Linked DNA regions of Saccharomyces cerevisiae S288C. The protein of the gene in region 3 interacts with the protein of the main gene of each other region in a biochemical or structural test. Each region holds a gene or a part of one and is shown on either strand. Other genes may lie near its edges.

Region 1 (4,861 bases), on a different chromosome or scaffold from region 3:
GATGAATGATATCTAATTGTTTCTCGAAGAATAACTTATATAACAGTAGTATACCGATGTAAGGAAAACTTCTTGGCTATGTAAAACTTTTTGAAAGTTAGAGGAAGAAAGTATTATACATTCAAGAGAGATGAGCTTTCCAATTTGAAAAATTTTTCAAGAAAAAGAAAAAATTTGAAAAAAAAAAAAGAAAAATATAATAAACATATCATTTTGTACGCAAAAAGTTAAGGAATTATGAAAAGGGACTAAGAGCGTGAATTTTACAGAACGGAGGACAGTAAGATTATATTCTATTTAGCTATCTAGAAACCAATTGAGCTATTTGAGAGAGATACATATTTTGAATTTAATTTGAAAATGCCTATCACCATAAAAAGCCGCTCTAAAGGGTTAAGGGACACTGAAATTGACTTATCCAAAAAGCCTACTTTAGATGATGTTTTGAAAAAAATCTCTGCTAATAACCACAATATCAGCAAGTACAGGATAAGATTAACCTACAAAAAGGAATCTAAACAAGTTCCGGTTATTTCAGAATCGTTTTTTCAAGAAGAGGCTGATGACTCAATGGAATTCTTCATCAAAGATTTGGGTCCCCAAATTTCATGGAGATTAGTCTTCTTTTGTGAGTATTTGGGTCCAGTCTTGGTTCACTCCCTTTTTTATTATCTATCTACCATTCCCACAGTTGTTGATAGATGGCACAGTGCTAGCTCCGACTATAATCCATTTTTAAACAGGGTTGCATATTTTTTAATTTTAGGACATTATGGAAAGAGATTATTTGAAACCTTATTTGTTCACCAATTCTCTTTAGCTACTATGCCAATTTTCAACCTGTTCAAAAATTGTTTCCATTACTGGGTTCTAAGCGGTCTCATTTCATTCGGTTACTTTGGCTACGGCTTCCCCTTTGGGAATGCTAAGTTATTCAAATACTATTCATATTTGAAATTGGATGACTTGAGTACATTAATTGGTCTTTTCGTGCTTTCAGAACTATGGAACTTTTATTGCCACATTAAATTGCGCCTATGGGGTGACTATCAAAAGAAGCATGGTAACGCTAAGATCCGTGTCCCATTGAATCAAGGTATTTTCAATCTTTTTGTTGCTCCCAACTATACTTTTGAAGTTTGGTCTTGGATTTGGTTTACTTTTGTGTTCAAGTTCAATTTATTTGCCGTTTTATTTTTGACTGTTTCAACAGCTCAAATGTACGCATGGGCTCAAAAGAAAAACAAAAAGTATCATACCAGAAGAGCATTCTTGATTCCATTTGTATTTTGATCCTCCTGTTTGCAACATGCCCAAATGCAAGGTAAAGAGATATTAGCTTTCACGAAGTGGCGTAGTAGCACTATTGTTTAAGTATCGTCTGCACCTGTGCCTTTTGGTATTTGGCACTATCTTAAGCGCATGCCACCAATTATGCTAAACCGTTTCACTTTAAGAAATTTTTATTTAAATCTTTCACTATGCAAATATGTAAGTACTTTTAAAATTCTCTTTCCAAAGAAAAGGAAATTATTTCAGACTAGCAGTAATTTATCACTTTGCTATTCAGATATTAGGAGAACATCCTTATCGAGCAAATCTGCCTCGCTTGAGCTGACAACGTCATCTTCGTCAGTACTCTCGCCATCCAGTAAATATGTGTTTTCATTCAATTCATTGAAAAACGGGGTTTTCAGTAAATCTTCTGCTGAACTACGCTTTTGAGGATCCATTTCGAAGCATTGTTCCAAAACCTGGAAGCACCAATAATGATCGGACCAAATTTCTTCTTGATACTTTTTCAACTCATAGGCATCAACAGCATCCATATTTGTCTTGGGGTCAGGTAATTGAGGTTCAATGGACATCCTGTCATGTAATTCTTGTTGTAGAAATCCGAATGTTTCAAAAGCAACACTGTACTCAGGGAACGTACCTATGGTACATTCTTTATTAAGCAAATCATAAACAAATTCCTTCAATCCATTAGAATATCCGTTTGGTTTATCCCAAATGAGCCCACTAGCTTCGAAACCCAATCCATGCAACGCTGCGCATTTTCTTAATTCTTTCCAACCAAAAATAGTACATAACTCTAGCAAAGAATCCGCATCATCTAAACTTTGGAACATTGGAAATCTTCTGCCCAAAAGACTTAAAAGAATAACACCTACGGACCATATATCAATCTTTGTGCTTTGAGCCCCACACTTCATTAACACTTCTGGTGCCCGAAATCCACGAGTCCCTGCTCTATTAGCCCTTTTAATTCTACGCGTTTCATTTTTAGGATAACCCTTTGTCAGATCCACCCCATTTACATTGTTTAAGTGGACGACCTTGCCATTTTGTATGGTGACCATAGGAGGTGTTTGGTTATGTGAGTTAGGAGAATATTGATTACGCATAATGCATGGACAAAATTGTTCGTGATTCCTCATTGAATATCCACCATCATGGTTTGTATTTGCATAATTGTCGTAATCGTTTTGACTAGATATCATGCTTTTATAATCCATTTGAGCCTCGGCTAGACCAAAATCAACAAGCACTCCACGCCCCAATTCCAAATTAAATAAAAAATTTGTCGGTTTGATGTCTCTATGAATAATTCCCTTCGAATGAACAAACTTCAATGCTCTTAGTAGCTCCCAAATGTACTTCTTGATTCCCTTGATTGGTAGATCCCTGTAGAAAGTTCGGAACTCCTCGTGGGGATAGTACGGTAAAACAGCAATGACTTGATCTCGCACCCTTTTTGCATCACATAGAGGGGCTACTCTCGAAGATCCCGTCATTATGTACAGCAGGTTGAGCTCATTATAAATTCTTTGCGGTGACGAGGTAACGTATATTTTCTTCAAAGCAACATAGTTCGAACCATAATTCCAAAAATGTGATGCAAATTTTTTTGTTATTTTCCCAGTGATATCTTTGGCTTTATACACTGACGAAAATGTTCCCTCACCGATCTTGTCTATGAGTTTATATTCATTTTCTATACCCGGTAGATCATGATAGAGCTGTATCATCTCTTCTTTGATTTCTGGAGGTATATCATCGATATTCTTCGTTTTGCTTGTCATTATGATTGTTCTACTTCGAAACTGCCTCTTTCCTAAGAAAATTAGATAATAGCACAATTGTTATTGAAAATTTAAGGTAGTCTGTTACTTCCCGTTACGCCTGCTGAGCGGTTTTTTTTGTTAATGGTTCTTGCATTGATTTTAGGCGGAAATGTGAAGTGCTCTTCTACTCACTAAATTGATGCCGTTCAAGAAGACGCCCCAGGGCAAAGAAGACATAATTTAAAAGCTGACCGGGGACAAATGTTTAAGATTTATGTAGGCCTAAGGCGTTTATCGAGCTAAACGGGAAGTAATTTTACTCTATAAAATGTCATCTACACAAGCATTGCCCCATTAGATTCTTAATTATCTTCAAAACCAGGGCTACACCTTAATTTCCCAAGCTAAAAACATGCTTATATAGAGGTTTAAAAAAAAAGCGTCGTTCGTTGATAAAGTTTACGAACGTATCAGTATGATCGCGTAGGTTTCCACATACTACTTAGACTTCCTACACTGTCATGGTCATTATGTCAACAAAGGTGAGACCAACGCGTCCTGACCTGAATTTTTCTCTCTTTAAAACAGAACGCGTTCTTCATAATCCTCTCCTCAATGAAAGAATTTGGGGGGACAATATCTTGACAGAAACTGGTAAGGCTCTTGATAGTTACCGTACTTGAAGGGACACTGTGAACTGACTAAAAAACTCCGTCATGTCCAATTTATGTGTACTTTTCTTCCAGTTTTTTTTTTTAGCACAATTTTTTGCTGAGGCATCACCGTTGACATTTGAACTGAATAAAGGTCGAAAGGAGTGCTTATATACGCTAACTCCGGAAATTGACTGTACAATCTCATATTATTTTGCAGTACAGCAAGGAGAGAGCAATGACTTTGATGTTAACTACGAAATATTTGCTCCTGATGACAAAAACAAGCCAATAATCGAGAGATCTGGTGAACGTCAAGGTGAATGGTCATTTATAGGCCAACATAAGGGAGAATATGCTATCTGCTTTTATGGTGGTAAAGCACACGACAAGATTGTTGATCTGGACTTCAAGTACAATTGTGAACGCCAAGATGATATTCGAAATGAAAGACGCAAGGCGAGAAAGGCGCAGAGAAACCTGAGAGACTCTAAAACCGATCCCTTGCAAGACAGTGTGGAAAATTCTATAGACACCATAGAAAGGCAGCTCCACGTTTTGGAACGTAATATACAGTACTATAAAAGCAGAAACACCAGAAATCATCACACCGTTTGTTCAACAGAGCATAGAATTGTAATGTTTTCTATTTACGGCATATTATTAATCATCGGAATGAGCTGCGCTCAAATTGCCATACTGGAGTTCATTTTCAGAGAATCGAGAAAGCATAATGTGTAAATAGTTGTGTATTGTTCCTGCATTTTCTATCAACTTGAGAATATATGTTCTTCATATTTAATAGGGGAAAGGAATGACATACCGTATCCAAAATAGCCCTTTTGCTCATGTTAAATCTTATGTAATGACAGAGCTGAAGTGACGTTTCTATTAAAGCACATGTCACGATTTAAAAAATCCTATTTCAAAATGTAGCATTGTTTTCTTCGAGAAATTGACAAAATAATCTTTGTAAGAGTAATTTTTTCTTAGCCATTGGCATATGCACCATGCAATTTCCACCTATTTAATTACACTTGCAGTCAATCAACTCGCTTGGGGATGGTATTCCTCTTGGAGTGTTAAACTATATTTTTAGTGAAAGAAGTGATAAGCAAGTGTGCCAGAAAATACAAGGAT
Region 2 (7,637 bases), on a different chromosome or scaffold from region 3:
GACAAGACAGCACCTTGCACAGCAGCACCAATGGCAACAGCTTCATCTGGGTTGACGGCCTTAGATGGGTCCTTACCAAACAAAGATTTAACGGTTTCGACAACCTTAGGCATTCTGGACATACCACCGACCAATAAGACTTCAGATATGTCTGAAGTAGACAAACCGGCGTCTTTCAAAGCCTTCTTGACTGGGTCGACAGTTCTCTTAACTAGTGGGGCTGTCAAAGTCTCGAATTGAGCCCTGGAGAACTTCATGTTGATATGCTTTGGACCTGAGGCATCAGCAGTGATAAATGGCAGGTTGATTTCAGTGGAAACGGTAGAAGATAGCTCAATCTTAGCCTTTTCAGCAGCTTCTCTAATTCTTTGGATAGCCATACGGTCATTTTCCAAATCAATACCAGTTTCGGTCTTGAAACGAGAAACAATCTCTCTCAACAAATAGATGTCGAAATCTTCACCACCCAAATGAGTGTCACCGTTAGTGGACTTAACTTCAAAAACACCGTTGTCAATATCTAAGATGGAGATATCGAAAGTACCACCACCCAAATCGAAAACGGCAACAACTTTAGAGTCGGATTTTTCCAAACCGTAAGCTAAGGCAGCGGCGGTTGGTTCATTGACGACACGTAAAACGTTCAAACCAACAATTTGGCCTGCGTCTTTAGTAGCTTGTCTTTGAGAGTCGTTGAAATAAGCTGGGACAGTGACAACAGCATTCTTAACTGGCTTACCCAAGTAGGCCTCAGCTGTTTCCTTCATCTTGTTCAAGACGAACCCACCGATTTGGGCTGGTGAGTAAGTTTGACCTCTGGCCTCAACCCAAGCATCCCCGTTGGAGTGCTTGACGATCTTGTATGGAACTTGCTTGATATCTCTTTGCACTTCAGCGTCTTCGAAACGACGACCAATCAAACGCTTGGTAGCAAATAGGGTGTTTTCTGGGTTCACTACGGCTTGACGCTTGGCTGGAATACCAACCAAACGTTCTCCCTCTTTAGTGAAAGCTACTACAGAAGGAGTAGTTCTGGAACCTTCGGCGTTTTCAATAATTTTTGGAACTTTACCTTCCATAATGGCAACCGCAGAGTTGGTGGTACCCAAATCGATACCGATGACGGAACCTTGAACCTTGGTTGACTGCAAACGTGTGGCAATACGGAAAGAGCTAGACAAGCTTGACCTGTTTAGTATGTTTTTAGCAGCAAGCATCTTGGTGCGTATAATATGAGATTTGTGTAGTCTTAATTATATTAAATGGGTCGTAAATACAAAAGTTGTCACTCTGGCAAAGGTTGGTGAGCAGCGGGGCGTCGATATGTACAGCAGGCAGAGGAGGACAGCAACGTATGGAGTTTTCAAACGTGGAACAAAGAACCCAAAAGTTCCCAAGCGTCGAGCCGGCGTTGGATCGTTCGTTTTTATACACCGCACCGTAAGCGGTCACCGGAAAAAGAGGCAGGGGGCGGTGGAACCGGGCCGAAGCCCATGGAAAAGCTCTGCCGTTGTGGGTGATATACAATTATTCAGCGCATCTAAGGCACTAGCTTTAGCACATTGTACCATTGCGATGATGCGGAAGAGTTTAATATAAGCAGATGTTAGTTGCGGTAGTTGGTATCATGACAGTGAGCTGAACTACGTAGCGTCGTGATTTATGAGTGGCACAGCTAATAGTAGGAGGAAGGAGGTTTTGCGCGTGCCTGTGATAGATTTGAATAGAGTTTCAGATGAAGAGCAGCTGTTGCCGGTGGTGAGGGCAATTTTGCTACAGCATGACACCTTTCTGTTAAAAAATTATGCTAACAAGGCTGTTCTAGATGCACTACTAGCGGGGCTCACGACAAAGGACCTGCCTGACACGAGTCAAGGTTTTGATGCGAACTTTACGGGTACATTACCGCTAGAAGATGATGTTTGGCTGGAGCAGTACATATTTGACACTGATCCTCAATTACGCTTCGATCGGAAGTGCAGGAATGAGTCACTGTGCTCCATATATAGTAGGCTGTTCAAACTGGGTCTGTTTTTCGCCCAACTGTGTGTGAAAAGTGTGGTTTCTAGCGCAGAATTGCAAGACTGTATCAGCACCTCTCATTATGCGACTAAGCTGACCCGTTATTTCAATGATAATGGTAGTACACACGATGGTGCAGATGCAGGTGCTACCGTGCTGCCCACTGGCGACGATTTCCAGTACCTGTTTGAAAGGGACTATGTTACTTTTCTTCCGACGGGCGTGTTGACCATCTTCCCCTGTGCCAAGGCTATAAGGTACAAGCCATCGACTATGGCGACGACGGACAATTCTTGGGTGAGTATTGATGAACCCGATTGTCTTCTGTTCCACACGGGGACCCTCCTTGCGCGCTGGTCTCAAGGTATGCACACTACCTCACCACTCCAGATAGATCCTCGTGCGAACATTGTTTCGTTGACCATCTGGCCTCCACTTACTACGCCAATCTCGAGTAAAGGAGAGGGTACGATTGCCAATCATTTGTTGGAGCAACAAATTAAGGCTTTCCCAAAAGTCGCTCAGCAATACTACCCACGGGAGCTTAGTATTCTAAGACTCCAAGACGCAATGAAGTTTGTTAAGGAGTTGTTTACTGTTTGCGAGACTGTATTGTCTTTAAACGCTCTTTCCAGATCCACGGGCGTCCCACCAGAGCTGCACGTTTTGTTACCCCAGATATCCAGCATGATGAAAAGGAAAATAGTGCAGGATGATATTTTGAAGTTATTGACCATTTGGTCTGATGCATACGTAGTGGAACTGAACTCTAGAGGGGAGCTGACCATGAATCTACCCAAAAGAGACAATCTAACAACGTTGACCAATAAGTCTAGGACTTTGGCATTCGTGGAAAGGGCAGAGTCGTGGTACCAACAAGTGATAGCTTCCAAGGATGAGATTATGACTGATGTACCCGCTTTCAAAATAAATAAAAGAAGGTCCAGCTCTAATTCTAAAACAGTCTTGAGCAGTAAAGTGCAAACGAAGAGCTCTAATGCTAATGCCTTGAATAACTCAAGATATTTGGCGAATAGTAAGGAAAATTTCATGTACAAAGAGAAGATGCCTGATTCGCAAGCAAACCTTATGGACAGACTGCGTGAAAGAGAGAGACGTTCGGCCGCATTGCTTTCTCAAAGGCAAAAACGTTACCAGCAGTTTCTAGCGATGAAAATGACTCAGGTATTTGATATTCTTTTTTCGCTGACCAGGGGCCAGCCTTATACAGAGACATATCTAAGCTCGCTAATCGTAGATAGTTTACAAGATAGTAATAATCCTATCGGTACAAAAGAAGCAAGTGAAATTTTAGCTGGGCTACAAGGTATCCTACCAATGGACATATCTGTTCATCAAGTGGATGGTGGGTTAAAAGTTTATAGATGGAACAGTTTGGATAAAAACAGATTTTCTAAGCTGTTGCAAATCCACAAATCAAAACAACAAGATTGAAGAATATTTTTAGATATAAGGTAGAATACGTACATTTACGGTAAAAAAAAAAAAAAAAGAAAAAAAATTGATCTTGATACATACGTTGGTATTTTACTTTGAAGACTGTGCATTGTGTATGTACGAAAAGAAAGGGAAATAAAAAATAACGACAACTGCAGGACTCGAACCTGCGCGGGCAAAGCCCAAAAGATTTCTAATCTTTCGCCTTAACCACTCGGCCAAGTTGCCTTTAATCTCTTGAGTTTGTTTAAGGACAACACTGTCCACCTGGCATGGGAATATTACCATTATTCCAGATTCGGGCTTGTTATTAGGACTTTTTACCAGCTTGATTTACCGGTCATTACTTATCCTACACATCATACATCACAACTACACTTGGTGAAGAAATCACAGAGCCTTGGATTTGTAACAATTATATGTTTACGCAATTTATCTTGGGAAAGCAGGGCCTCATTTGTGGACATAGCACGGTCTGTCACCCTCGTCGTGCAAAAAATATTTTGACTTCTACTCTTTTTGAAGTTTCGTTGATCGGGTCCCTTCCAAGGAAAAGTCGAATGCTGTCACTGCGCATATAAAGGCGAGAACGATAGTGACTGTGATATTAAGTTATTGTCATCATATAAGTAATTTTTTCTCTGATATCTGTAGCCCTAGTTTTTAATATTTTCGTAAAATGCTCAAAAAAATTTCTGTTTAAATTCTTCTGGGGTATATACACATGTTCCCGTCAGCTAAATTAAAAAGAAGAAGGAACCGAAAGAAGGCAAATTATAAAGTAATCATCCTCGGCATATTGAGGGGAAAATATCCGTCAAAAAAAAAAGTTCTGCACGTCGTCATAAGTGACTATGGTATCAAACACCAATTAACACGAACGTAGCGATAATGAAGGCAACTTCGTAGCTGAAACAGAACGAAGTTAGTTAGGATGAATAATTATGATTATGATTATTATAATATTATATAAAATGTATAAATAAGATTTCTAGATCAAAAAAACATCGCGTATTTTGTAAGCTATAGAAATCTAAAATATCTAATCAGATCTTGGAGCTTCCTTGAAGGAGATGGCAGCTTCTTCACCCATGGCAGAAATGATAGTGACCATCAAATCCTTACCTTCATCGAAAGCAGCTTGCATGCTGTCACCCAATTCACCTTCTGGTGCCTTGACATCGTCTTTGGTTTCACCGTCCATGGTCATCAAGGACAAGTAGCCATCATCAATATCCAACAATTGGTATTCGCTTCTCTTGACAAATGGAACTTCCAAGTTGTGAGTGGATGGAGACAAATCTTCCAACTTCTTACCAGTGAAGATATCAAGGGTAACCAAATGGACCTTGGCGTGACCGTGCTTACCGGTCTTGGAAGTGGACATGTCGACAATCTTACATGGTCTACCTTTGATGACAACGAAACCATTCTTTCTCAAGGCAGAACATTGCATTGGGTAGGTGGCGGAGGCACCAGCGTCAGCATTTTCAAAGGTGTGTTCTTCGTCAGACATGTTTTAGTGTGTGAATGAAATAGGTGTATGTTTTCTTTTTGCTAGACAATAATTAGGAACAAGGTAAGGGAACTAAAGTGTAGAATAAGATTAAAAAAGAAGAACAAGTTGAAAAGGCAAGTTGAAATTTCAAGAAAAAAGTCAATTGAAGTACAGTAAATTGACCTGAATATATCTGAGTTCCGACAACAATGAGTTTACCAAAGAGAACAATGGAATAGGAAACTTTGAACGAAGAAAGGAAAGCAGGAAAGGAAAAAATTTTTAGGCTCGAGAACAATAGGGCGAAAAAACAGGCAACGAACGAACAATGGAAAAACGAAAAAAAAAAAAAAAAACACAGAAAAGAATGCAGAAAGATGTCAACTGAAAAAAAAAAAGGTGAACACAGGAAAAAAAATAAAAAAAAAAAAAAAAAAAGGAGGACGAAACAAAAAAGTGAAAAAAAATGAAAATTTTTTTGGAAAACCAAGAAATGAATTATATTTCCGTGTGAGACGACATCGTCGAATATGATTCAGGGTAACAGTATTGATGTAATCAATTTCCTACCTGAATCTAAAATTCCCGGGAGCAAGATCAAGATGTTTTCACCGATCTTTCCGGTCTCTTTGGCCGGGGTTTACGGACGATGGCAGAAGACCAAAGCGCCAGTTCATTTGGCGAGCGTTGGTTGGTGGATCAAGCCCACGCGTAGGCAATCCTCGAGCAGATCCGCCAGGCGTGTATATATAGCGTGGATGGCCAGGCAACTTTAGTGCTGACACATACAGGCATATATATATGTGTGCGACGACACATGATCATATGGCATGCATGTGCTCTGTATGTATATAAAACTCTTGTTTTCTTCTTTTCTCTAAATATTCTTTCCTTATACATTAGGACCTTTGCAGCATAAATTACTATACTTCTATAGACACACAAACACAAATACACACACTAAATTAATAATGACTGAATTCAAGGCCGGTTCTGCTAAGAAAGGTGCTACACTTTTCAAGACTAGATGTCTACAATGCCACACCGTGGAAAAGGGTGGCCCACATAAGGTTGGTCCAAACTTGCATGGTATCTTTGGCAGACACTCTGGTCAAGCTGAAGGGTATTCGTACACAGATGCCAATATCAAGAAAAACGTGTTGTGGGACGAAAATAACATGTCAGAGTACTTGACTAACCCAAAGAAATATATTCCTGGTACCAAGATGGCCTTTGGTGGGTTGAAGAAGGAAAAAGACAGAAACGACTTAATTACCTACTTGAAAAAAGCCTGTGAGTAAACAGGCCCCTTTTCCTTTGTCGATATCATGTAATTAGTTATGTCACGCTTACATTCACGCCCTCCTCCCACATCCGCTCTAACCGAAAAGGAAGGAGTTAGACAACCTGAAGTCTAGGTCCCTATTTATTTTTTTTAATAGTTATGTTAGTATTAAGAACGTTATTTATATTTCAAATTTTTCTTTTTTTTCTGTACAAACGCGTGTACGCATGTAACATTATACTGAAAACCTTGCTTGAGAAGGTTTTGGGACGCTCGAAGGCTTTAATTTGCAAGCTTCGCAGTTTACACTCTCATCGTCGCTCTCATCATCGCTTCCGTTGTTGTTTTCCTTAGTAGCGTCTGCTTCCAGAGAGTATTTATCTCTTATTACCTCTAAAGGTTCTGCTTGATTTCTGACTTTGTTCGCCTCATGTGCATATTTTTCTTGGTTCTTTTGGGACAAAATATGCGTAAAGGACTTTTGTTGTTCCCTCACATTCCAGTTTAGTTGTCGACTGATACTGTTAATAAACTCATCGGGCGAGGCTTCCACGGTTGGAAAAGCATATGGGCTGGCGCATATGGTTATAAAATCACCTTTTTGCAATTCAATTCTATCTTTCCCATCAAAAGCCGCCCATGCTGGAGCCCTTGACTTCATCGAGACTTTCACTTTTAAATTTATACTTTCTGGTAAGATGATGGGTCTGAAACTCAATGCATGTGGACAAATGGGTGTTAAAGCGATTGCATTGACGGTTGGGCATACCAATGACCCACCTGCACTCAAAGAATAGGCCGTGGACCCAGTCGGAGTAGCAGCAATCAGTCCGTCCGCCTGCGCAACGGTCATTAATGAGCCGTCACCATACAATTCTAACATGGATAGAAAAGGACTTGGACCACGATCGATGGTCACTTCGTTCAAAATGTGGTGTGTGCTTAGTTTTTCCACCACACATATTTTCTTCCCCGTGTTTGGGTCTACTTCAGGGCGGTGTCTACGATAAATTGTGCACTCCAACCTCAACCGTAAATTTGTCTTGATTTTATGATTCATAATCCGAGGTAAATCCTCCCTGAAATGTTCAAACTTAAAATTTGTTAAAAATCCTAGAGACCCTAATGAAAACGACATAACGGGTGGTACATGTCTCTGAAAAATGGAACTTACAAAAAGAACAGTACCGTCGCCACCCAAAGTCACTACCAAATCGAAGAAAACATCATGTTCCCTGATGAAATCCTTTGTCCAATACTTGATCCTTGATTCTCTACATTTACTATCTTCACATAACTCGCCAGCGGCAAATTTTTTGCTGTTTTTCAATTCGGAATCCACATAAACAGTCACACGTGGAAAATGTACCAAAA
Region 3 (8,815 bases):
AAAGAGAAAAGGAACTAAAAAAGCAGCAACGTGCAGAAGAGAAACACAGAAAAGAGTTATTACGACAAGAAGAGAAAAAGAAAAAAGAGCTAAAGGTAGAAGAGGAAAGACAAAGGCGTGCTGAGCTGAAAAAGCAAAAGGAAGAGGAAAAGCGTAGAAAGGAAGAAGCCAGATTAGAAGCCAAAAGAAGAAAAGAGGAGGAAAGATTGAAAAAGGAGGAGGAAATACGTTTGAAAGAAGAAGCCAAGGAAAGAGCACAATCCCGTATTGGTAACTTCTTTAAAAAACTAAGCGATTCTAATACGCCTGTGGTTGAAAAGTCGGATTATGAAAAATTTTTTCTACCTTTCTATGCTAAAGATGGAGTTAGAGTCAGTAATAAGTGGAAACTAACAAAAGTGGAGCTGGAAGGTAGCAAAAGAAAAATAGATGATGAATTACTGAACAGTAAAGATAAAACAAGTAGTGACGACTTATTGAATTGGTTACAGTCTAGAAGATTACCTAGAGGACATAAAATTAAACGTAAAGCTGTTGACGTTCTACAGCAAATGCCTTTGAAGGAGAAAACAGACGATGAGCTCCAATCTTTACTTGCACAAGTTCCGCACAAATATATAAAATTCTACGAAAATGTTAGACCTCCGTTTATCGGAACCTATTCTATGGACTTTACTTTGCCACCAAACGATCCCTTTTCTACGAAAGGTACTGGATTCAATTATGATTACGATTCTGACGTTGAATGGGTTAATGAAGAAGAAGAAGGCGAAGTCGATAACTTAGAAAGTGGTGAAGAGGAGGAGGAGGAGGAAGATGATGAAGACGTACCTAGCGAAGGAGAGTTTGACGGGTTTCTAGACAGCGAAGAAAACAGTGATTTGGATGGCCTACCCTGCGCCAAGAGAAAATTTGTAGGCCCATTGATACCAACAATATGCCTAAAATCCAATTTTGAAAACTTATCAGAGGAAAATAAACGATACTTACAACAACTCAAGGCCGAAGTTATCATAGAAACCGACGGGCCAATCGATCCATTCAAAGAACCCAAAACATCGTCTCTACCATCCAAAAGAAGTAATTCCGACTTACAGGCACAGACCGCTAGCCAATCTCAAAGTCCCGAAAAGAAACAAAAAGCAATGATTACAGACCCCATGGACTTACTTCGACTTTTTGATGGGGTTCAAGACAGCACGTTTTCTTTGGGTACTGTGACTGAAATAGCACAGAAAAATTTGCCGCAATACAACAAACAAACAATTAAAAACACCATAAAGGAATATGCCATAAGAAGTTCTGGAAAGGGTGATTTGCCCCGCAAATGGGTAATCAAAGACGCACAAAACTGGGAGAATCTTCGAGCCAATGCAAATATGCCAACCCCGTCTTTGTAACTTGAACGGATCTTTAGTATATAGAAACATACAGATAAACTGATTATTTATTGGTATACATGAAAAAGGCGACAACACTACGATCGACAGTCAAGCCTTTTGGACTTTGAATAAAATCCAGCACTTCTCGCATGCAACAAAAGAAAATCTTCTATATAAGCTGAACTACATTTATCTGTGTCAGCCAACTGCATGTTTTATATCACTTCTTTTTGGAATATTACGAGTAGATTCATGAAAACGCAAACACTTGGTTTACTCTTTCGGGAAATTTAATGCTAGTTCGCCGCCTCGAAAATGAAAAGAGAAGAAGAGACCAGAAGAGCAACTTCGCATTGGCACTGTTTATTTCTTTAAGAACATCTTCAATACTAAATAAGACAACCCATCTTCAGTTATTTTTACTCTTGGTAGAGCCCAACTTAGGATCCTTTTGAACCTCAAGAACTTAAAATGTCTCAACAGTCTAGCTCTCCAACAAAAGAGGATAATAACTCCAGCTCCCCCGTTGTGCCTAATCCTGATTCTGTTCCACCACAGCTTTCTTCCCCAGCTCTATTTTATAGCTCCTCTTCATCACAAGGTGATATCTATGGTCGCAACAATAGCCAGAACTTAAGTCAGGGAGAGGGAAACATCAGAGCTGCTATAGGTTCTTCTCCACTAAATTTTCCATCTTCTTCCCAAAGACAAAATTCCGATGTTTTCCAATCTCAAGGCAGACAGGGCAGAATTCGTTCTTCTGCGAGCGCTTCTGGAAGGTCTAGATATCATTCTGATCTGAGAAGTGATAGAGCACTGCCTACTTCTTCCTCTTCTTTAGGCCGTAATGGTCAAAACCGTGTACACATGCGAAGAAATGATATTCATACATCTGATTTATCCTCTCCAAGAAGAATTGTGGATTTTGATACTAGATCCGGCGTGAATACTTTGGATACTTCTTCTTCTTCTGCTCCTCCATCGGAAGCCAGTGAACCCTTGAGAATAATTTGGGGTACCAACGTCAGTATCCAGGAATGTACAACTAATTTTCGTAATTTTTTGATGTCTTTCAAGTATAAATTCCGTAAAATATTGGATGAAAGGGAGGAATTCATTAACAATACTACCGACGAAGAACTATACTATATCAAGCAGCTTAATGAAATGAGAGAACTTGGTACCTCTAATTTAAACTTGGATGCTAGAAACTTACTTGCTTACAAGCAAACAGAAGACTTATACCATCAACTATTAAATTATCCTCAAGAAGTGATTTCTATCATGGATCAAACTATCAAGGACTGTATGGTTTCCTTAATAGTAGACAACAATTTGGATTACGATTTAGATGAAATAGAGACCAAGTTTTATAAAGTAAGGCCTTACAATGTAGGTTCTTGTAAAGGTATGCGCGAATTGAATCCAAATGATATTGATAAATTGATAAACTTAAAGGGTCTTGTCCTGAGATCAACTCCGGTTATCCCTGATATGAAGGTAGCGTTTTTCAAATGCAACGTCTGCGATCATACAATGGCAGTGGAAATTGATAGAGGAGTTATACAAGAGCCCGCTAGGTGTGAACGTATTGATTGTAATGAACCCAATTCCATGTCACTGATTCACAACAGGTGTTCATTCGCAGATAAACAAGTCATTAAGTTACAGGAAACTCCAGACTTTGTGCCTGATGGACAAACGCCTCACTCTATCTCATTATGTGTTTACGATGAATTAGTGGATTCTTGCAGGGCGGGCGATCGTATTGAGGTGACTGGCACGTTCAGGTCCATCCCCATTAGAGCTAATTCCAGGCAACGCGTACTAAAGTCGTTGTATAAAACATACGTCGATGTGGTCCACGTTAAAAAAGTTTCAGATAAGAGGTTAGACGTCGATACTTCTACTATTGAACAAGAATTAATGCAGAACAAGGTAGATCATAACGAGGTCGAAGAAGTAAGACAAATTACTGATCAGGATTTAGCAAAAATTCGCGAGGTTGCGGCAAGAGAAGATTTATACAGTTTATTAGCCCGCTCTATTGCCCCAAGTATTTACGAGCTAGAAGATGTCAAGAAGGGTATATTACTTCAGCTATTTGGCGGCACGAATAAAACCTTTACCAAGGGTGGCCGTTATAGAGGTGACATAAATATTTTACTTTGTGGGGATCCTTCTACTTCCAAATCGCAAATTTTGCAATACGTTCACAAAATTACTCCTCGTGGTGTGTATACTTCGGGTAAAGGTTCATCTGCCGTTGGTTTAACTGCTTATATTACAAGGGATGTCGACACAAAACAACTTGTTTTGGAAAGTGGTGCATTAGTATTGTCTGATGGAGGTGTTTGTTGTATTGACGAGTTTGATAAAATGAGTGATTCTACAAGGTCCGTCTTGCACGAAGTCATGGAACAGCAGACTATTTCAATCGCAAAAGCGGGAATTATCACAACACTTAATGCCAGAAGTTCTATTTTGGCCAGTGCTAACCCAATTGGTTCACGCTACAACCCCAATTTGCCTGTGACTGAAAATATTGATCTACCGCCCCCACTACTTTCGAGATTCGATCTGGTCTATCTTGTCCTTGATAAGGTTGATGAGAAAAATGACAGAGAACTAGCCAAACACTTAACAAATCTTTACCTGGAAGATAAGCCCGAACATATTTCTCAAGACGACGTGCTACCAGTTGAATTTTTAACGATGTATATTAGTTATGCAAAGGAGCACATACACCCAATAATCACCGAGGCCGCTAAGACTGAGCTTGTTCGTGCTTATGTAGGAATGAGAAAGATGGGTGACGATTCGAGATCCGATGAGAAGAGAATCACAGCTACCACAAGACAACTTGAAAGTATGATTCGTTTGGCTGAGGCGCACGCCAAAATGAAATTGAAAAACGTCGTAGAGCTGGAGGATGTTCAAGAAGCCGTTAGATTAATTAGATCAGCCATAAAAGATTATGCAACAGACCCTAAAACCGGTAAAATCGACATGAATTTAGTTCAAACAGGTAAATCAGTTATTCAGAGAAAACTACAGGAGGATTTGTCAAGGGAAATTATGAATGTTTTGAAGGATCAGGCATCAGACTCAATGTCATTCAATGAGCTTATAAAACAAATCAATGAACACTCTCAAGATAGAGTTGAGTCTTCTGATATCCAGGAAGCCTTGTCAAGATTGCAACAAGAGGACAAGGTCATTGTCCTTGGCGAGGGTGTAAGGAGATCAGTTCGCCTGAATAACCGTGTCTGATGCTGTCTACTACAATCATTCCCTGCGTAACAATTAATAAATACTAATTAATTATAGCAAGTTTGTATTTTTTACATCCTTATGCTTTGTAACACTATTCAATACTGTATGTAGGCTCGATTGAGTGGGCGGCTTTTTTCTTATTCCTGATTGGCTGAAAGAAAATATTGTTAAACGCACTAAATTTATCCCGAAGGATGATTACATTTAAAGACCGAAAAATGAAGATGCAAAGATCCCTCATATTTTCTACTCCAGTCCAAATCGACAAGATAAACCTGCCGATAAATCATATTTCAGAACGCTAATCAATTCATCATGCTAAGCAGGATCCAAAATTATACCAGTGGGTTGGTTTCTAAAGCAAATCTTTTGTCATCAAAGGCTTTATACTATGGTAAAGTCGGTGCCGAGATTTCAAAACAGATTTATTTAAAAGAGGGTCTTCAACCACCAACTGTTGCCCAGTTCAAATCAGTGTATTCGAACCTTTATAAGCAGAGCCTAAACTTTGCTCTAAAGCCTACAGAAGTTTTATCGTGTTTAAAAAACATCCAAAAGAATGAACTATTAAAATATGGCGCATATGGTATTCAGTTGATAGGGTTTTATTCTGTCGGTGAAATAATTGGAAGAAGAAAATTAGTGGGATATAAACATCACTAAGCTTTTTAATTCTATCTATTCGCAAAACCCTTGTATATTCGTTAATTAAATTAAATCAATGTACAAATAGAACAAAACTAGAAAAAAGAATATATATTCATCTCAATTCTATTTATTTTCTTTTCATGACATACAATGGCATTAAAAGCGATATCGAGTTATATTACATTAGCTTCTTGCCGCCAGTTATTTATGAAATAGGCCAATATAACTTTTCTGTAAAAAAGAAAACTTGACCTCAGAGCTTTCATTACACTTATTAAGAACAACATACTTGTTGCACTATAGTAAAAACTACAGTGAAATTGATCTCAGGATCATTAGTAATTTTTCTCACTATAAGAAAAAAAAAAAAACATATATTTTGCTATGAATTATAATAAGTAAATATATACATATATATGTACAGAGAAACTGACGAAGAAAATAAATCACCCGTTAATGCTTCTTAGGTGCTCTTGAAAGTTTTTATAAACTGAAGAGTCAAACCTAGAAAAGTTATTGTCCAAATCAATGAATGTTTTCGCAATTTGACAGCTTTTATAGTAATAATTGGCATGTTTTCTATCATCAGAGTAAAACTTTTGCTGTGGGAGTTCACCGTTACTATGAACTACTGTCTCTTCATTGCCTGCGTCGTCATCGATACAAAATCTCTTCCTACCCTCTCTGCTTTTTAATTTGTTATCGGGGGAGGGAATAAAGCCCTTGAATAATTCATAGGCGGCCAGAGTGAACCCAAATTGGGGAGAACTTCTTAGGACACGGGCTCCACCACCTTTGAAAAAGCTTCTAAAGCTCTCTTCCTTTAAGATAGTTCGGATAGCATGAAATATACCGTTATACTTTGTCTCACCTTTTCGAGGATCTATCTGGAGCCTTGTTTTTATAACATCAAAAGGAGTAGTCAAGAAGGCAGCTGGCATACCAGCAATGGCACCGGCAGTTAAAAGCTCCCATGTTTTTAATCGATTCCTCTTTGTTTTATCATTTGGATCAAAATCAAAGAGATCTTTTTTTAAATGTGCATAAGTGGGAAAATAAATAGCAGAGAATGGAACATCTCTCATTAAACATGCGGCTACACCATTGTACAAGCCCCTCAGTCCTAATTTTTTGACTATTTGAGTGGCAGTTTCATTGGCTTGTTGTATGTTTTCACCAACATAGTCGGATTGGACCTGTAGCCTAATTTTTACAATCTCTAACGGATTAGTAAATATAACTTGACATGCACCAGCTGAAGCGCCAGAAATAATTTCAGGAAAAAGGCTTAGCTTGCCGTTTTTATCAGTCAACCTGTTTCTCATAAAATCATTGACAGTCAATTTTATCGCCTTTTCAGGAGCAACTCCTATTAATTGTGGCCCTAAGCCAGAGTAGAGACCTTTTATTCCTTCGCGGGATATAATCTTCAACAAACAATCAATTGAGTTTTTGTATTGGGCTAAAGATCTTTGGGCTTGCATCCTTGTTTTTATAAAGTCTATTGGGTATACTACAGTTGCACCAATACAACCCGCAATAGAACCCAAGGAGAAATTGTACAACGAATCGAAAATTGGATAAAAGTAGTAATTAATATACAATGACTCATTTTGATTTTTTTGCAATTCCATTTGGTGAACTAAGTCGTTCAGGTAATTTGGGTTCAAAATTTTCATGAAATCTTCAATTGTTAAGTCAGAACGCATCGTTGCTTTATCTTTTTTACCTCCAAATACAGATTCAAACAAGCCAGTACTCGCTTTTGAAGCTTTTTTAACACCAGAGTCTTGGTCAAATCCATCCGAGAGATCATGATAATAGTCATTAAAACTTTCTAAATTTTTTCTGGATCTGCTTACTCCATGCAAATACTCATTATGGATAAAAAAATCAATATCTGAATCATAATGGTGATCATTTAATAGCTCGTCATCTCGATCTTGATTTCTCTTTCTTAATCTTCTGTTTTCCTTTGAATTTGCGACGATAGAAAATAGTAGGTTGATTTGGGAAGGAGAGAACTCAATGATATTGTTTACTTTGTTATACTGGGCGTTTAAAACTGTCATAAAGTCATTTTTAGTAACTATTTGTTCCCTAATATCCTGCTCATTCAAATTATTTTCAGTAACATACTTGTGAAATATTTGGTTCAGTAGGTCAAAATTTTGAAATAAATAAAATATATCCTTGAATACATTGTACGGAATGGAATTATTGTCCGCTTTTAGTAATTCGGTGTTTGATAGATTCAAGGAGGAAAATATATCTGCAGACACCCTGTGAGAGTAAAATAACCTTAGAAGATAGGTGAGTTGATTTTTGCTTAGGGCTAAACGATGCCCTTGTGAGTCCATCTGTGCCAACCTATCAAAACCTATAAATATTTTTTCATTCTTAAGATCATTTTGTAAAATCGTGACCAGAGAGTTTAAACTCAAATACTCTTCATTTTCATGATAACATTTGTAAAATTTCAGAAATCGAAAGTCATTCCAATCAAGTAGTAATTTGTTATCTTTAACAAAATTATCATCAATAGATTCGTGCAACAGGCGGATAGTATCTTTGAATTGGTTCAGATTCAAAAGAAGATCATCAAAGCTTAGAAATCTGTTACCATAATTAATTGACTTAATTCGATCATCTGCAGCCTTTAAATTAAACGACGAACTACCAAGCTCTTTTTTTTGTTTTGCCTTCAAATTCTCTACATCAAATTTCCTAAAGAACTCATATAGAATAATGAGATGATAATTATCATATTCTAATAAATTATTAAAATAAAACCAATCATTAAGCGTCAGATATCCCTTGTTTTGTTCATCAATAGCGAAGAAAATACACCCGAAAACGTTCTTGGGTATCTGGTTCAAATTGAACGAATGGTCCGTAAACTTCGAATAAATAGTCTTTGAGCTAGATATCAGTTCAATGAAATCGTCGTATGTTAAAATTAGTTCTCCTGTAAGCTTCTCCGTGTCAGGTTTCCCATTTCCTGCTGTGAGTTTACTGGAGTTCACTGTCGGCATATCTAACATACCATTACTGATACTAATAGGCTTGTCCTCTTTTGTAAGGACACTTGCAAAATATTTGAATACTTCCAATTGTTGCTTCTTTTTTCTACTGTTCGAATTGATTTGCTCCATAATAGTATAATAATTCTTTAAGGTCGGTAGCAAAGCTGCATACTTTCAAACTACGCTATGAAAGTTATGTACTTTTCCAGTGAAATATGTTCACAAAGAAGGGATCAGGCTACTTCGAAAATTATGGCAAACGCGAGGTTGTGAGATAAAACTTGAAAGTCTGGTGAGATTAGATATCAAATCTTAACATATAAAAGACAGGTTCGTCTTGAGGTATTTATCTATCTTCGAAATATTTTTTTCTTTGCTTCGAATACTGGTTAATTCTGAGATTCAATATATGTTTCGAGATGTTTTTCCAACATGCCGGCAGTACTCCCCTAAAGCGATGCTGCAGAAATTTTTCATAACCGC
Region 4 (7,972 bases), on a different chromosome or scaffold from region 3:
GATTTAGTATCACGTCTTGGAGAACAATTAAGACTAATCTTGGAACCTACCTTGGCTACAAAGCTGAAGGGTGATTACAAAACAGGTAAGAGACTGAATATGAAACGGATCATTCCATATATTGCCTCACAATTCCGTAAAGATAAAATCTGGTTGAGAAGAACTAAACCAAGCAAACGTCAGTATCAAATAATGATTGCGCTTGATGATTCTAAGTCTATGAGCGAATCTAAATGCGTTAAACTCGCTTTTGATAGTTTATGCTTGGTCTCCAAGACGTTAACTCAGCTAGAGGCTGGAGGGTTATCTATTGTCAAATTCGGTGAAAATATTAAAGAAGTTCACTCATTTGACCAACAATTTAGTAACGAATCTGGCGCAAGAGCTTTTCAATGGTTTGGTTTCCAAGAAACTAAAACAGACGTTAAGAAACTTGTGGCTGAATCTACTAAAATTTTTGAACGTGCTCGCGCTATGGTACATAATGACCAATGGCAACTAGAAATTGTAATCTCTGATGGTATTTGCGAAGACCATGAAACAATACAAAAACTGGTCCGCCGTGCTAGAGAAAACAAAATTATGCTGGTTTTTGTCATCATAGATGGTATTACTTCTAATGAATCCATCTTAGACATGAGCCAAGTGAACTACATTCCAGATCAGTATGGCAATCCGCAATTAAAGATTACCAAATACTTGGACACATTTCCTTTTGAATTTTATGTTGTTGTACACGATATAAGCGAACTACCCGAAATGCTTTCACTGATTTTGCGTCAATACTTTACAGACCTGGCATCCAGCTAAGTATATCGTGAAAACCAAGAAGAGGAGGTTTACTACACGAATCAAAGGAACAAAAAAATCATGGAACTGAAAAAAAAAAAAAAAAACTACTGTAAAAAACTACTGTAAACTATAAATTATTAATTAGACTGAACGTATACCTATATAAACCTGATATAAAAATGATTCAAGTTATTAGTCCTTTGCATTTTCTGTTAGCAATCCTTTGTCAATTAGCCCTAAGAAATATTATTCCCATATGGGTAACCAACTCTCTTTTTTTTTTTTTTTGAAGGGATCAATACTTCAGTCAGATATTTAAAGAGAAAAATTTTCTTCAAGATGCAAGTTTCCCATTCAGTTCTATAGGAAGTTAAAACAAAAGAGCTGTTTGAGAGCTCGTAGGCTTTGGTTGTTAAGAGAACGGACTAAATAACACCAGGAGGTGTGTCTAGACTTAGTTGAACGAGTTTTTTCTCGTGCTATTATATCTGTTCTTAATACTTCCACTTTATTTTAATGATGATAGCATGATTTATGTTGCTCGAAGTTAATCGATGTGAGCACAATGATTTCTCAAGACTACAACGGTATCTGAATTTTATTTCTTGTCAAAAATGTTTTATAGAAGCCACTCTTGCTATAGATTTATATTGCCACACATAACTTTTTCACGTAAATTTGAAAGAGCTATATTAGCTGGTGCTTTCACTAACATCTCTTTGCTCTAGTATTTCATTTCGGTGCATAAAACATTTGAACTTCCATCGAAATTCAATATGCTAAAACGTTTCATTGTAACACGACGCTGAAAAGACAATAAGTACGAAGGACTCAAGAAGGAGCATGTCTAAAGGGAGGGTCAATCAGAAGCGTTACAAGTATCCTCTTCCAATTCACCCCGTAGATGACCTTCCAGAGTTAATCCTTCATAATCCGTTATCTTGGCTATATTGGGCATACCGCTATTACAAGAGTACGAACGCACTGAACGATAAAGTACATGTAGATTTTATAGGAGATACCACTCTTCACATCACGGTTCAAGATGACAAGCAAATGCTATATCTTTGGAATAATGGATTTTTTGGCACTGGTCAATTTAGCAGGAGTGAGCCTACATGGAAAGCTAGAACAGAGGCCAGACTGGGTCTCAATGATACTCCCCTCCACAATCGGGGAGGAACAAAGAGTAATACTGAAACGGAGATGACTTTAGAGAAGGTCACACAACAGAGGAGATTACAAAGATTAGAGTTCAAGAAAGAACGTGCGAAGTTAGAAAGAGAATTACTAGAATTAAGAAAAAAAGGTGGTCATATCGATGAGGAAAACATCCTCCTTGAGAAACAACGAGAATCATTAAGAAAATTTAAACTAAAACAAACAGAAGACGTGGGCATCGTTGCACAACAGCAAGACATTTCCGAATCAAATTTAAGAGATGAAGACAACAATCTTCTTGATGAGAACGGTGATCTTTTGCCACTAGAGTCACTAGAACTAATGCCAGTGGAAGCTATGTTTTTAACTTTTGCACTTCCTGTTCTTGACATATCTCCCGCGTGCCTGGCAGGGAAACTGTTTCAATTCGATGCCAAATATAAAGATATTCACTCCTTTGTCAGATCATACGTTATATACCATCACTACAGATCACACGGTTGGTGCGTAAGATCTGGTATAAAATTCGGCTGCGATTATTTATTATATAAGAGAGGGCCACCATTTCAACACGCTGAATTTTGTGTTATGGGTCTTGACCACGACGTCTCTAAAGATTATACGTGGTATTCTAGCATAGCCCGTGTTGTGGGCGGCGCAAAGAAGACGTTTGTGTTATGCTACGTGGAGAGACTAATCTCGGAACAGGAGGCGATAGCACTATGGAAATCAAACAACTTTACTAAATTGTTCAATAGTTTTCAAGTTGGTGAAGTATTGTATAAGAGATGGGTTCCCGGAAGAAATAGAGACTAGAATATCAATGAGAAGATAAATCCTTCGTATGTATATATGTATGTGTATGTATTTTTTATACAGATTTCAATGGTTTTTGTAAGCATCTGATACCCATCCACAATCCCTAAACCCCTTGTTCTTTGCTTTGGGGCCCTTGACAGGGTCATCATATATTGCTCTAAACTTTTCATTGTGTGTGGCTGGTTTGGATATGCAAACAAATTTATTATCAGGAAGGACACATTTCAACTGAGATTTAGGGAAGGGACAAGGACAGTCTTTCTGCTGTGCAACGCACGTTAGGGTGTCCGGACACAAATACCCATCACAAGGGTTATTTAAAACTTGATCTTCATATGATTGTTGCTGTTGCTGTTGCTGTTGCTGATGATGACCGAAATTGAAGAAGGCATTCACTCCAGTGCTGCCAAAAATAAACAATGCAAAGATGAGAACGATACTCCAGCGACTTTGACTCATACTACAGTAAAATTTGGTCGTTTTTTGCCTGGCAAACCATGCCTATTTTTCGTCATTAAAGGTCTTCTGAGCTTTCATCAAAATTATCTCTATAATTATAAAGGACAGCTCAGAGCCACACCCAAACATCTGCAAAGGTAAAGGCCATCTTTCATCTCACATTGCCTAACAAGAAAGTCACATTGCAATTGTTTCGAGAAGAAAACATTAATTCAATTACGTGGTTCCCATGCGTCTGTGTTAAGCGTCAATTTATCATTTGACGAACTCGTTGCAACCACAAACAAAGCAAGGGCCGCATTTATCAAAGGAAAACCAACCAAAAGCATAAATAAACGAGATTTTTATTATGAAAAAGCCATGCGAATCCTACTAGAATAAATTCAAAGTGAAGACATTTAGTCAATTCGATCTTCTCTCTCTTGCTTTAACTAGTCGTAAAACCTAATAAGTTTCATTCACGACGCGTATTTTTTTTTCAACATATCATCTAACGCGTTTTAAGAAATTTCAGTAAATAATGAAGCTGTAGTAATGCCAACAATCCATTGTGGCTACTTTATACAACGCACTATAGAGCAATAAAAGTGTAGCAATAAACACTAGAGAGAAGGCACATAATAACAAGAATATACTCTCGCACATGTATTATGGAATCAGCCAGTTTAGCGAAGCCTACAACAAAATCTTAAGGAATTCATCGTCTCATTCATCATGTCAATTGGTCATTTTCGTTTCTTGTCTTAACATCGATGCGCTGTGTGCGACGAAGATGTTGTCACTATTATTCAAAAAACAATTGGTACAATCTCAAATAGTACCGATATTTGGGTACTCTGAATTACGACGCCACTATTCTCAATTGGATGACAATATAAATAGTCTGCTATTAGTAGGGTTTGGAGGCGTTATTGATCTGGAGGCTTTCTTAGAAATCGATCCCCAAGAGTATGTTATCGATACAGATGAAAAGTCGGGGGAACAAAGTTTCAGGAGAGACATCTACGTGTTGGATGCTCATAGACCGTGGAATCTCGACAATATATTTGGATCACAAATCATCCAATGTTTTGACGACGGTACGGTGGATGACACATTAGGCGAACAAAAAGAAGCATACTATAAATTGCTTGAACTGGACGAGGAGAGTGGTGACGATGAGCTCTCAGGTGACGAGAACGATAATAATGGGGGTGACGATGAGGCAACTGATGCCGATGAAGTCACAGACGAGGACGAAGAAGACGAAGATGAGACAATATCTAATAAAAGAGGTAATTCTTCAATAGGACCGAATGATCTCTCAAAAAGAAAGCAACGAAAGAAGCAAATCCATGAATATGAAGGTGTTTTGGAGGAATACTATTCTCAAGGCACAACAGTGGTTAACTCGATATCTGCACAAATCTATTCATTATTGTCTGCTATCGGAGAAACAAATCTTTCAAACCTGTGGTTGAATATACTTGGTACGACCTCGTTAGATATAGCATATGCTCAAGTTTACAATCGATTATACCCCTTATTGCAAGATGAAGTGAAGCGTCTCACACCAAGCAGTAGAAACTCAGTAAAGACCCCTGATACATTGACGTTAAACATCCAACCGGATTACTACCTTTTCTTACTGAGGCATTCTTCATTGTACGACAGTTTTTATTATTCTAACTATGTCAATGCCAAACTATCCCTATGGAATGAAAATGGGAAAAAGAGATTGCATAAGATGTTTGCTAGAATGGGTATACCATTAAGTACTGCACAAGAAACATGGTTATACATGGATCATTCTATTAAGAGAGAACTTGGGATAATATTTGACAAAAATTTGGATCGTTATGGGTTGCAAGATATAATTAGAGATGGGTTTGTTAGAACTCTTGGATATCGTGGGTCCATAAGTGCCAGTGAATTTGTCGAAGCACTAACAGCTCTTTTGGAAGTAGGTAATTCAACTGATAAGGATAGTGTGAAAATAAATAATGACAATAATGACGATACAGATGGAGAGGAAGAAGAAGATAACAGCGCTCAAAAATTGACGAATTTGAGAAAAAGATGGGTTTCGAATTTTTGGCTCAGTTGGGATGCTCTAGATGACAGAAAGGTGGAACTATTAAACCGTGGCATTCAACTAGCACAAGACTTACAGAGAGCAATTTTTAATACCGGGGTTGCTATATTGGAGAAGAAATTAATCAAGCATTTAAGAATTTATAGATTATGCGTCTTACAAGACGGACCCGATTTAGACTTGTACAGAAACCCATTGACGTTATTAAGATTAGGAAATTGGCTCATAGAATGCTGTGCGGAATCTGAAGACAAGCAATTGTTGCCCATGGTGCTTGCCAGCATAGATGAAAATACGGACACTTACTTGGTTGCTGGGTTAACACCTAGGTATCCTCGCGGACTAGACACGATACACACAAAAAAACCTATTTTGAATAATTTCAGCATGGCGTTTCAACAAATAACTGCAGAAACGGATGCTAAAGTGAGAATAGATAATTTTGAAAGTTCCATAATTGAAATACGTCGTGAAGATCTTTCACCATTCCTGGAGAAGCTGACCTTGAGTGGATTGTTATAATCAAATTTATATTATTTAGTCGTACATATATACCAGCATATGAATATAAAATCTAAGCTTTTTCAAGCTTTTAAGTCCAACTTTTCTATAATAATACCATATTTTGTGCGCGGCTCTTGACAAAACAAAAAAAAAAACCTAAATAAAAGGAAATTAAGAACAGGGAACTAGGTTTGGAAGGACAAATTCAGGAAGGAAAGAAATAGCTGTGACAAAGTAAGATGAACCAAAATGGTGATAAGAACGAAGGCAAGTTGTTTCAACTACCGTCATTGCCGCCCTGGAAAACACCAAGGTTCAACAAAGCCAACTTTAACAATTTTACCACACCGCTACGGAAAAGGTCGACAAGGGTAATAAATGATGATTCGATGCCCATAACAGGCGAAGTACTAGAGGAGAGGACTGCAGATGATCTCTATGGGATAAATATGGACGTAGACGAAGTCGACTATCTGAATACTTTGAGCCACATCGAGGAAGAAAAGCAATACGATTATTCACCGTTTTGTGAGCGCAATACGCTAAGGGAAAGTAGAATTGACAGTTTTTTGAAAGCCGAAAGGGCAGCACATTGTCTTGTGTTTCATAAGGTGGGCCATCTAGACGGCATAGACAGCTATCGACCCGATATTGACATCATGTGCGGCGAAGAGGCTAATAAATATGACAGTGCGAATCCGGAGGGCAATGGTTCAATGTTGTTAGAGAGTGTACCTGGATGCAACAAAGAAGACCTGGAGAGGTTATCAAGGCGAGAATTTGTAACAAATTCGAAACCTAATATGAGACGGTTGGATGACATAATAAATCATGAAACGAACGCCTTAAAAAGTTTCTGGAACGACTCAGGATTAGTCAATTCACTCCAAAGTCATCATTTGCATGAAGAGTACCTTCTTTTGCAAGAAGAATTAAAGAATGTGTACAAGATTAAATGCCATGACAGAGTGCCAATAGAAAGTCTACGCGATAAGTGCAGAAGACACTATAGCAACGAGGATAGTTCGTTTCTCTGACAGAGGCAATGCCTTTTTTGCTTCACGTGTATATATATCAGTTGATATGCGTTTTCTATACAGACATACATGTATATACACACATATATATATATACATATGTACGCAGAGATATATTAAATGGGGGTTCTAGTTTCAACAATTTGATCTTTCAGTTTCTCGTCCCATTCCAGTTTCTTCTTCTGTATATAAGCGAAGACATCAGACATTCCAGTAGGGTCTATTTCCTGCGTCTTGATATATGGCATACCATCCCTAGAGGTAGCAGAACCGTATTTTACGTCTTGTTTCTCAAAGTTTGGATTGGCCAATCTAGTTACGTATACTGGGGCATTGGCAGCTTTATAACCATCAATATTGTGCCATGGAGACCCCAACAGCCTGGCCAAATAGAACAAGCATAGCATGCCGAAATAGGTGAAAAAATTCAAATATTCGGAGAAGGAATGGCTTGTAAATATGCCCGGTTGAACTACATACTGATTTATGCCCAGCTTTTTCAAGTCTTTGTAGGTGGCCAAATGCAGTAAATCAACTAAACGCTTGGAGCCCTCATAAGAGGCATTTGTCTTTAGTAGTTCAATATCGTTCAACGAAAGATACTTAGGATCGGACATAATACTCGAAATCCAAACAATATAAGCCTTTCCCCTGGTCAATTGAGGCAGAATTTTACTGATAAAGTAGTACGGACCAAACACATTGGCCTGGAAAATAAGCCCCATGTCATCTTTAGACTTGACGCCCACCAGTTGTATCTTGTATGTCGGATTTGTCACTGCCTCCAATGGATTGGTGAAAACCTCCTTGACCGCTCCGATCCAATCTATACCGTCAAAGATACCTTGCGCAGCATTCACGAAAAGGTAGTTTATCGCCCTGTACTTTTTGTTGATGTCGTAATATGCGTTCAAGACACTCACCATGTTGGTGAAGTCCACCAACAGATAATCAAAGTCTATTTCCAAATCCTCTACACGGCCTGATTTGTTGTAAAAATCTTTAATCTGGTTAATCACCTCCTGCACTCGAGGAAGCGTTCTAGAAGTCACCACAATGGTCAATCTGACATTGGTGTCCTCAGTTTCAATCAGACGGAACACAATGTTCAGACCAAGATTACTAT

The links.
Region 1: of the proteins of MCM4 (region 3) and CDC7, one has a biochemical effect on the other in vitro, tested with the Saccharomyces cerevisiae proteins (9 studies listed by BioGRID, with this or other methods).
Region 2: the proteins of MCM4 (region 3) and TAH11 form a complex in vitro, tested with the Saccharomyces cerevisiae proteins (3 studies listed by BioGRID).
Region 4: the proteins of MCM4 (region 3) and CDC45 form a complex in vitro, tested with the Saccharomyces cerevisiae proteins (5 studies listed by BioGRID).

Annotation. Positions count from the first base shown.
Region 1 is NC_001136.10:422,434-427,294, reverse strand, and holds CDC7 (serine/threonine protein kinase CDC7), read right to left. Parts: upstream 3,087-4,861; coding exon 1,563-3,086; downstream 1-1,562. Other genes in the region: trans-2-enoyl-CoA reductase (NADPH) TSC13, read left to right, coding at 361-1,293; ERP3 (Erp3p), read left to right, coding at 3,785-4,462. UniProt on the Saccharomyces cerevisiae protein: Serine/threonine-protein kinase. Needed for the initiation of DNA synthesis during mitosis as well as for synaptonemal complex formation and commitment to recombination during meiosis. Required for HTA1-HTB1 locus transcription repression.
Region 2 is NC_001142.9:520,386-528,022, forward strand, and holds TAH11 (Tah11p), read left to right. Parts: upstream 1-1,662; coding exon 1,663-3,477; downstream 3,478-7,637. Other genes in the region: Hsp70 family ATPase SSC1, read right to left, coding at 1-1,217; ANB1 (translation elongation factor eIF-5A), read right to left, coding at 4,523-4,996; CYC1 (cytochrome c), read left to right, coding at 5,950-6,279; UTR1 (NADH/NAD(+) kinase), read right to left, coding at 6,499-7,637. UniProt on the Saccharomyces cerevisiae protein: DNA replication licensing factor, required for pre-replication complex assembly. Faithful duplication of the genetic material requires 'once per cell cycle' DNA replication initiation and elongation.
Region 3 is NC_001148.4:594,897-603,711, forward strand, and holds MCM4 (MCM DNA helicase complex subunit MCM4), read left to right. Parts: upstream 1-1,853; coding exon 1,854-4,655; downstream 4,656-8,815. Other genes in the region: RLF2 (Rlf2p), read left to right, coding at 1-1,400; ATP20 (F1F0 ATP synthase subunit g), read left to right, coding at 4,974-5,321; AGC1 (citrin), read right to left, coding at 5,753-8,461. UniProt on the Saccharomyces cerevisiae protein: Acts as a component of the MCM2-7 complex (MCM complex) which is the putative replicative helicase essential for 'once per cell cycle' DNA replication initiation and elongation in eukaryotic cells.
Region 4 is NC_001144.5:341,844-349,815, reverse strand, and holds CDC45 (DNA replication initiation factor CDC45), read left to right. Parts: upstream 1-3,874; coding exon 3,875-5,827; downstream 5,828-7,972. Other genes in the region: REA1 (AAA family ATPase midasin), read left to right, coding at 1-810; tRNA splicing endonuclease subunit SEN2, read left to right, coding at 1,636-2,769; LCL2 (Lcl2p), read right to left, coding at 2,836-3,231; APC9 (anaphase promoting complex subunit 9), read left to right, coding at 6,049-6,846; ERG27 (3-keto-steroid reductase), read right to left, coding at 6,963-7,972. UniProt on the Saccharomyces cerevisiae protein: Required for initiation of chromosomal DNA replication. Acts at the origin of replication. Also has a role in minichromosome maintenance.